Linked DNA regions of Drosophila melanogaster. Changing the gene in region 1 together with any one later gene gives a genetic interaction. Each region holds a gene or a part of one and is shown on either strand. Other genes may lie near its edges.

What was found.
Region 2: of Arf1 (region 1) and Sec71, changing one suppresses a phenotype caused by changing the other (phenotypic suppression), as found in Drosophila melanogaster (one study listed by BioGRID).

Annotation. Positions count from the first base shown.
Region 1 is NT_037436.4:22,870,269-22,874,021, reverse strand, and holds the start of Arf1 (ADP ribosylation factor 1), read left to right. Parts: upstream 1-1,790; 5' UTR 1,791-1,965; exon of another isoform or gene 1,966-2,209; intron 2,210-2,297; exon of another isoform or gene 2,298-2,702; intron 2,703-2,934; exon of another isoform or gene 2,935-3,175; intron 3,176-3,727; exon of another isoform or gene 3,728-3,753. Other genes in the region: CG11109 (uncharacterized protein), read right to left, coding at 334-1,587, 1,676-1,741. UniProt on the Drosophila melanogaster protein: Small GTPase involved in protein trafficking between different compartments. Modulates vesicle budding and uncoating within the Golgi complex. In its GTP-bound form, triggers the recruitment of coatomer proteins to the Golgi membrane.
Region 2 is NT_033779.5:13,791,806-13,795,558, forward strand, and holds the start of Sec71 (secretory 71), read left to right. Parts: upstream 1-1,715; 5' UTR 1,716-2,042; coding exon 2,043-2,823; intron 2,824-3,090; coding exon 3,091-3,753. Other genes in the region: CG16863 (uncharacterized protein), read left to right, coding at 1-1,330.

The sequences.
Region 1 (3,753 bases):
GTTAAATAACAATGACGGACTTAGATTTAAGTAAAATTACATTAGTTATGAATTGTAAATTATTTAAGTTCTTTTTAACTCGAAAACAAAAAGATAACATTATGTATCTCCATTAAGATAGCACAAGCAGCTATGGGAGAGCAAAGCCTAAATGTTATCAGACTGCATTTTTCAAATGCTTTTCTAAGCGTAGGGTTGAAATTTTCTTGATCAAATACCACTAGCGTAGGTCTCACTTATATCACTCATAAGCCGGCTTACTTTTGCAAATCAAAACGAATGTTTAAATTATCGAGCCCAATAAACAAAAAATTTCAGTGAAGTTGAATTTATTTATATTTTCTGAAACTTCGCAATAAAAAAGCCCACAGTGTCCGCATTTGCTCCGCTTGGACCGAAGCGCTGCAACAGACGAGATTTACATGCCTCGAAACCGGGAAGCGGAAGTCCGGGACCGCCCCACCGGGGAGTGGCATCTGTTAGCCGCAGCTCGACAAATTTTCTTAGTGCCCAGGCCACAAGACATTCGCACTCATCCTCGGTGACGGTGCACGTGCTATATACAAGGATGCCGCCAGGACGAACGAGCTGCACTGCCTGTTCAAATAGCCGGCGCTGAATATGGGGATATGAGGACAAGACCTTAACCTGTTTAATGCTGCAGGACAACTGTGGCCGGTTGCCCAGCCCACTGCAGGGTGCATCGAGCAAGATTCGGTCAAAGCTTTCACATGGAAACGGAGGCCCAGTGAATTCTCCCACGGGTGCAGATGGAGCGTCCGCTGCCACTGCCTCGGTGGAGTTAAAAACATGCGCCGTTATGCTTTTGTAGTGTCCCAATTTGGGCAGCATGCTGCGGACGCGACTGGCCGAATTGTCTAGGGCCACCACAGATCCCCGATCGCCCATCAACTCGGCTATGTGGCTTGTTTTGTTACCCGGAGCGGCACACATGTCCAGTATGCGCTCGCCGGGCTGCGGATCCAGGACACGGACGCAAACAATAGAAGGCAGGTTTTGCAACAGGCCGTCTTCGCTGCTTAGATCCCCCAGCGTGGGCACTCCGCTGACGTTGGACTGCATTTCCACGGCCACTCCAGAGGCGGGCTTCTCCGCGTTGTTGAACAGCTGATACCGCTGCATTAACACCTTGCCTGTACCCAGGAAAACCTTATTTGGGCTTTCGTACCGCTTGACCGTCCCGCGCTTGCATTTTCCATCCAGATCTGCGTAGACATTGACGAGTTCCTCCCGCTCAGTGTTTGACTCCATAGCTAAAACACCGGGGGCGTATATGTGGGCGCCTCGCAGTAGTGCAGCTCCGCAGTTAGTGTCAACCACTACCTCCTTGAGCTCGGAGTCGGCCACAGCTTTGGTGAGCTGTGAGTCCAGCGGATCAATGCACAACATCTCGGGTAGGTTTGGCAAGCAGTAAATCCTTGGAGATTTTACACCGTAGCGAATGGCGAGTTTTTCTTCTAACTTTTTCCGAAAGTCGTCAACGGAACACCTAAGAGTGTTCACCCTGTAAGTGGTGACTTTGGGAGTAAGGCACAGCCATTCCAACAGCGGAGCAAGTGCAGCAGACTTGACAAAACCAGGAATTAACAGTTAATAAAATTTGCAAGCCAGTTTTTGTTGTAAATACGTATTTGTGCACATTGAAAGTACATACATTCACTTTAAGGATATCGGCTTCCAGCAACGGGTTCACCAAAAATGGTGTTTTTGGGTAAAACATATTAACATTTAACTTAGTTCAAATCACCTGGATAGTGAACTTTATCGAGTGAGCATTGTGCGACAATGATGAATCGATTAATCCAAATCGTTGGCAACTCTAGCCGAGGTGGCGGAGAAGAGACGTGGCAGCATTTCCCGAGTTTTCACCACGGGACTACACAACATCGGCATCCCGCTCTAGCTCATGCGCTGCGCCCATCTCTATCGGCAACGTTTATGTTGGTGAGTTTGCAGTTTTTTCAACAGCAAGTGTATTCTCGGTCAAGTTTTATTTTGCTCTGTGATTTTAGACATTTCCAAGCAGAAGTTTTTAAAATTTCCGCTCCTAGCCGTGTGCATTTGATTCAATTAGTTGGTGCGTATGCGTTTTCAGTCGAAAAAGGGGGTGGTATGTCAAGGCAGAGATACTTTTCTTGATTTTAAGAAGTTCCGCAGTAATGTAGATGTTCGTGTGAGTGTTTAGTGTGGGCTATCCACGAACACTCGCGCAACGTACGCGGCTGTGGTGAATAGTGGAAGTATTAGTATTGGAAGCCGCACGAATTAATCGTCGGTGCTTTGTTTATAGCATTATCGTAACAGGAGACAAGGACAAGCTCTCCTTTAATTACAAAAGTGATAGCTAAATTATATAATTGGGAACATTTTACAATCTCTGTTCGGCAGACAATAGTGACTTGTGCTCATCGACTATCGGTAGCGGATGCTATCGATACATTTCTCTCCATTATCTTTCTATTCGCAATTCGGTGTGTGGTGTGTTTGGCAGCATAGAAAATTCAATCAAAGAAAAGTCCACGAAAAAAGGCAGAATAATCGGTAAATGGACGTGTAAAGTGTCACTGAGCTAAAAGGATCTCAGTTAAAAGAAGTCCAAGTAACTTCGGACCGGTCTCTGTATTCTTGTAAAAACAAGGGACGGCGGCAGCCGCATTTCACCAACCCATAAGAAAAACAGCGTACGTCACTCACACAGACGCAGGCAACCACGTATAAAGTTCAAAGTTGTCTGATCCCGATCCGAAAGTGGGCTTAGTTGCGAAATGTCTGAACATGGGGCGTGGGCTGGCGAAGCGTTCATCTTCGAGCAGTGACGCCCTCCGCCTGGAGCTTCTATTTAAACGCATTAAAGGCAGCAAAGGCAGGGCGGCTCAACGCAGTTGGCAACCCTGGCGCCTGCGGGTGTATGCGTGAGTGTGCGGTGGTGGGCTGCCTCGCTTCCCTCAGCGCTAAATTAAAAGCTGCTACGTGTAGTTTTCGATTTCGGCTGCTTCCAAGCCAACTATCGTCAGCTGGCATCAGCATCTTCTCAGTAACGTGGAGCACCTATCTTTGCGCACTACCGGTCCGGAGAAGAAGTCTCTGGGGTGTTAGTTCCCTGTAACAAACTTAGGTTTTTGGATATCCGATTGCTGTCAAACGAAAGGTTTCCGTATGTTTCGCTGGCAACCTTTTTTCTTTTTGTGTTCGTGCGAAACGGGCTTGCTCATTGCGTTCCTCCATTTTAACATGAATTGCTTAGCCATCGGTTGCAGCCTGCTCGGTTGCAGGGCTCAAAAGGCGGCAGCGGTGACTCACTGTAGAGTTTGGGAGCTTCCCCTCCGCCCAGCAAGTTCGCCGAAAACTGCAAGTTACCTGGCCTTATCATTCACGCACTTCTCAGCCCGCACGTTTCTTGCGTACTCTGTGTAAAGTGGGTGGAGGACGTTGGAAGGGAGGCGCTGAGCGCCGACAGCCGTCATGGTTCTATACTAAAAATCGATATCTTATCAGCAGCCGCTAGCGGGGCAAACACTAAAAGCAAGCGACTCGTGTTTCATACATCCTCCATTTCGCGTTGTATTTAAGTGTGGAATTAATTACATAAACAAATTTTCTGTTTTTCTCATGCTGACGCATTGAAGACGTCCTTATTACAATAAACAAAAACGAATTTCGTTTCTTTTTCCGGTTTTTCCGCTCTTCCGGTTTTTGTATGACTCAGAGTGGGTAAGCGCCATTCAACACGTA
Region 2 (3,753 bases), on another chromosome or scaffold:
CTACAGACCACCGAGTGCGGCGAAACTGGAGGCCATTATCTGCAGGGAGTCGGAAGCGCAGAGGTCCAAGCTCTGCCAGCAGTTGGCCGACATCTCGACACTCAGCCTAAGTTGCTCGGTGCACACGAATGCGGAGAGTCGAAGCTGGATGGAGCTGGTGGCCCACTTTCACGAGGGGCGGCAACGAATCTCCCGAACTCTTTCTGTGCTGCGCCTTCCCGATCTTTTCACCTCCAACGATCTGGTGGATCGCATGGACCAAGTGTGTCAGCGCTTCGACATTCCAAAGTCAAGGATCTGCTGCGTGTCGACAAGGAGCAGTCAACTACTGGAGGATGCGGTGACATCGTTCATGGGCGCTCATCATCATGTTCCCTGCTTCGCAGACCAATTGAATTCTATTTTAGAGGAGGTGGTGCAGCGCCCAGAAATACGTCATTTGCGCGACAAGGTGCGTTCCCATGTGCAGTCCACATTGCAGCTGAATCCCCAACTGGATTCCATACACCGACCGATTAGTGTGTACAATATGCTAGACTTATACCTGAAACAGACTCTCGTTCAAGAGCCGCTGCCGCTTTCGACATCGGAGGTGGATTTGTGTCAGCAATTGCTGGACGTGCTGAGGCCGTTGACCAGCTCCATGCGTGAGCTAAGTCGAACACCATATCCGGCGGCCAGCACAGCCCTGCCCATTGCCCAAACTCTGATCAACGAACTGAAGCAGGAGAAGAGTGCGGAACACATGGTTGCCAGGGAAATACGCTTGTTCCTGGTTCAGCAGCTGGAGGAGATCTTCGAACGAATGGAGCGCAACTTGCACCTGGCATTGGCAAGTCTGCTGGACCCACGCTTTCGAAATATTCCCTTCCGGAGTGGGGCCCTGGTGGCCCAGTACATGACTCAACTCTATGACATGATGCAGGCGCATGTGGACAGCGGGGAGCAAGCTGTTGCAAAGCATCCGGAGAACCGTGATCACTACGATATCTGGGCGGCATTCAAATCCTTTTCGCATGGGAAGCAAAGGATTGTAAACGGCAGCAACGGTCCCGAGGCGGACGATGAGATAGCCAGATACTTTTGCGCCGGCATGAGTACCCTGCGAGCCGATCCCTTTCAGCTCTGGGAGGAACTGGCCGAAGCTCACCCCTTCCTGCACAACGTAGCACAGAGGTACCTGCACGTTCCGGCCACCGCAGAGCCGGCGGATCGGCTATTTACGGCCGAAGGAGCGGCGGTTGCGGCGCAGTACGCCAGACTAATCGAAAACAACATGGAAAACATACTCTTCATGGCGGAAATTCCAACGAAGGAGTGGCAGTTATAGCGTAGTCCATAATCAATCCAAACCTAAGTTGAGCACTGTGTTTTTGTACCCCTTTTATTAACTAATTTATTAATTTACATTTACAATAATGCGAACTATAAAATACATTTTTTAACTTTTTAGCTTCTCAAGCGTTAAGGAACTATTTTTGTATTAGAAAATTAGAGGTAGGGAACGAATAACGAACACATATTCATTAAAGATTTGTAAGTACTATTTACTACACATATTTACACAAATAATTTATTTTAAATATAACTTTATTGTTTACTTTTTTCTTTTGTTATCACAAATCGCCGTTACAAATTCAAATAACAATAACACCAGCAAATTAGCAAAAATACCAAAACCGAGAGAATACCAAAAACTTCCCAACACTGCCGACAGCTCAGTAATTTTCGCTTACACGGTCACACTTCTGATGACGTTTTTTCGTATTTTGAAGGGAATGTAAATGTGGAAAAACTGAGAGATTTGCAACATGCAAACATCCACGACACGCTAAAAACTCACCGAGTGCCGCCACACGACAATCCAACCGAGAGGAGCACTCCGCACAGCTGGCGGAGCACCCAGAAGGCAGCAGGCGAAAGTTGCGTGGCTGTTGTTTCCGGAAGCGGTGGGCAGAGGGAAATCCGAAGCAGTGGTAGTAGGGAAAGAGGCATCGAAACCCACCCAGCGAAGGCGACCTTGGGAGTGGCAGCGGCCCAATATGCACAACAACTCCACAAAAACCAAGGAAATGTTCATCGTGCGTGCTCTAGAAAAGATCCTTGCCGATAAGGACATACGGCGCTCCCATCACTCGCAGCTGAAGAAGTCCTGCGATTCGGCGCTGGAGCAGATTAAGGCGGAGCTAATCAGTGCCGGCCAGATCGCAGAGGGCAATGAGCTGCCCTGTGCCGCACTCCCGCTGCCCAAGAATGATGCAGCGAGCATCATAAATGCGGAGACCTACTTTCTCCCCTTCGAGCTTGCCTGCAAGAGCCGCTCGCCCAGGATCGTGGTCACCGCACTGGACTGCCTGCAGAAACTCATTGCCTATGGCCATTTGACAGGATCCATTCAGGACTCGGCCAATCCGGGTCACCTGCTCATCGACCGTATCGTTGTGACCATATATGGCTGCTTCAGTGGTCCCCAGACGGACGAGGCCGTCCAACTGCAGATAATAAAGGCTCTGCTCACGGTGGTCACCTCGCAGCATGTGGAAATCCATGAATTCACACTGCTGCAAGCTGTGCGCACCTGCTACGACATCTATTTGTCCAGCAAGAACCTGGTCAATCAGACCACAGCACGCGCTACGCTCACCCAAATGTTGAACGTGATATTTGCCCGCATGGAGAATCAAGTGTACGAGCTACCACCTCCCAATTCCAATCCCACCAACGGCAGCATCCACTCGGAGGATTGCAATGGCTCGGGAGAGGAGTCGCTGCGGGATTCCGACGAAGTAATTGCCTCGGAACTGCTGGCGGAGATCATATCAGGTGCGTGGCACTCGGTGGAGAAAGTTTGATAAACAGATGTTTCTTGTTAAGCTGAAGTTGCTTATTATTCTACTTAACTCGCTTAGATTTAACTATTTTTCAATATTTTCAAGAAACGTAATTAAGTTCATAAAATATTTCTTATCGGATGGGAAAAAATTGTATGAATCATTTACAGTACGATACGATAAGGTCCAACATAAAATTCCACTCCTCCAAACCGTCTAATTATCATTGCGCGAAAATAATGACAGTTACGTTTTTCAGCTGCCTACAATGAGGCGATGAAGGATCAGGAATCGGTCGGTGAGCCAGAGCCAACACTTAATGGAAACGACTACTCCTCGCACTCGGATCACGACAGTGTGGAGCTGCACAGCGAAAACGATGCGGTTGTAACGGCTAAGTTTACGCACATCCTGCAGAAAGATGCTTTTCTCGTGTTCCGGGCACTGTGCAAGCTATCGATGAAGCCTTTGCCGGATGGACATCCAGATCCGAAATCGCACGAGCTGCGTTCCAAGGTGCTGTCATTGCATCTGCTGCTGCTCATCCTCCAGAATGCCGGGCCCGTCTTCCGCTCCAACGAGATGTTCATCATGGCCATTAAGCAGTACCTGTGCGTGGCCTTGTCAAACAACGGAGTCAGTCTGGTGCCGGAGGTCTTCGAGCTGTCGCTTTCAATCTTCGTTGCCCTACTCTCGAACTTCAAGGTGCATCTTAAGCGGCAGATAGAGGTGTTCTTCAAGGAAATCTTCCTAAACATTCTTGAGGCGAACTCAAGCAGCTTCGAGCACAAATGGATGGTAATCCAAGCGCTGACACGTATTTGTGCTGACGCCCAGTCCGTGGTGGATATCTATGTTAATTACGATTGCGACTTTTCGGCTGCAAACCTTTTTGAGAGACTGGTCAACGATCTTTCGAAAA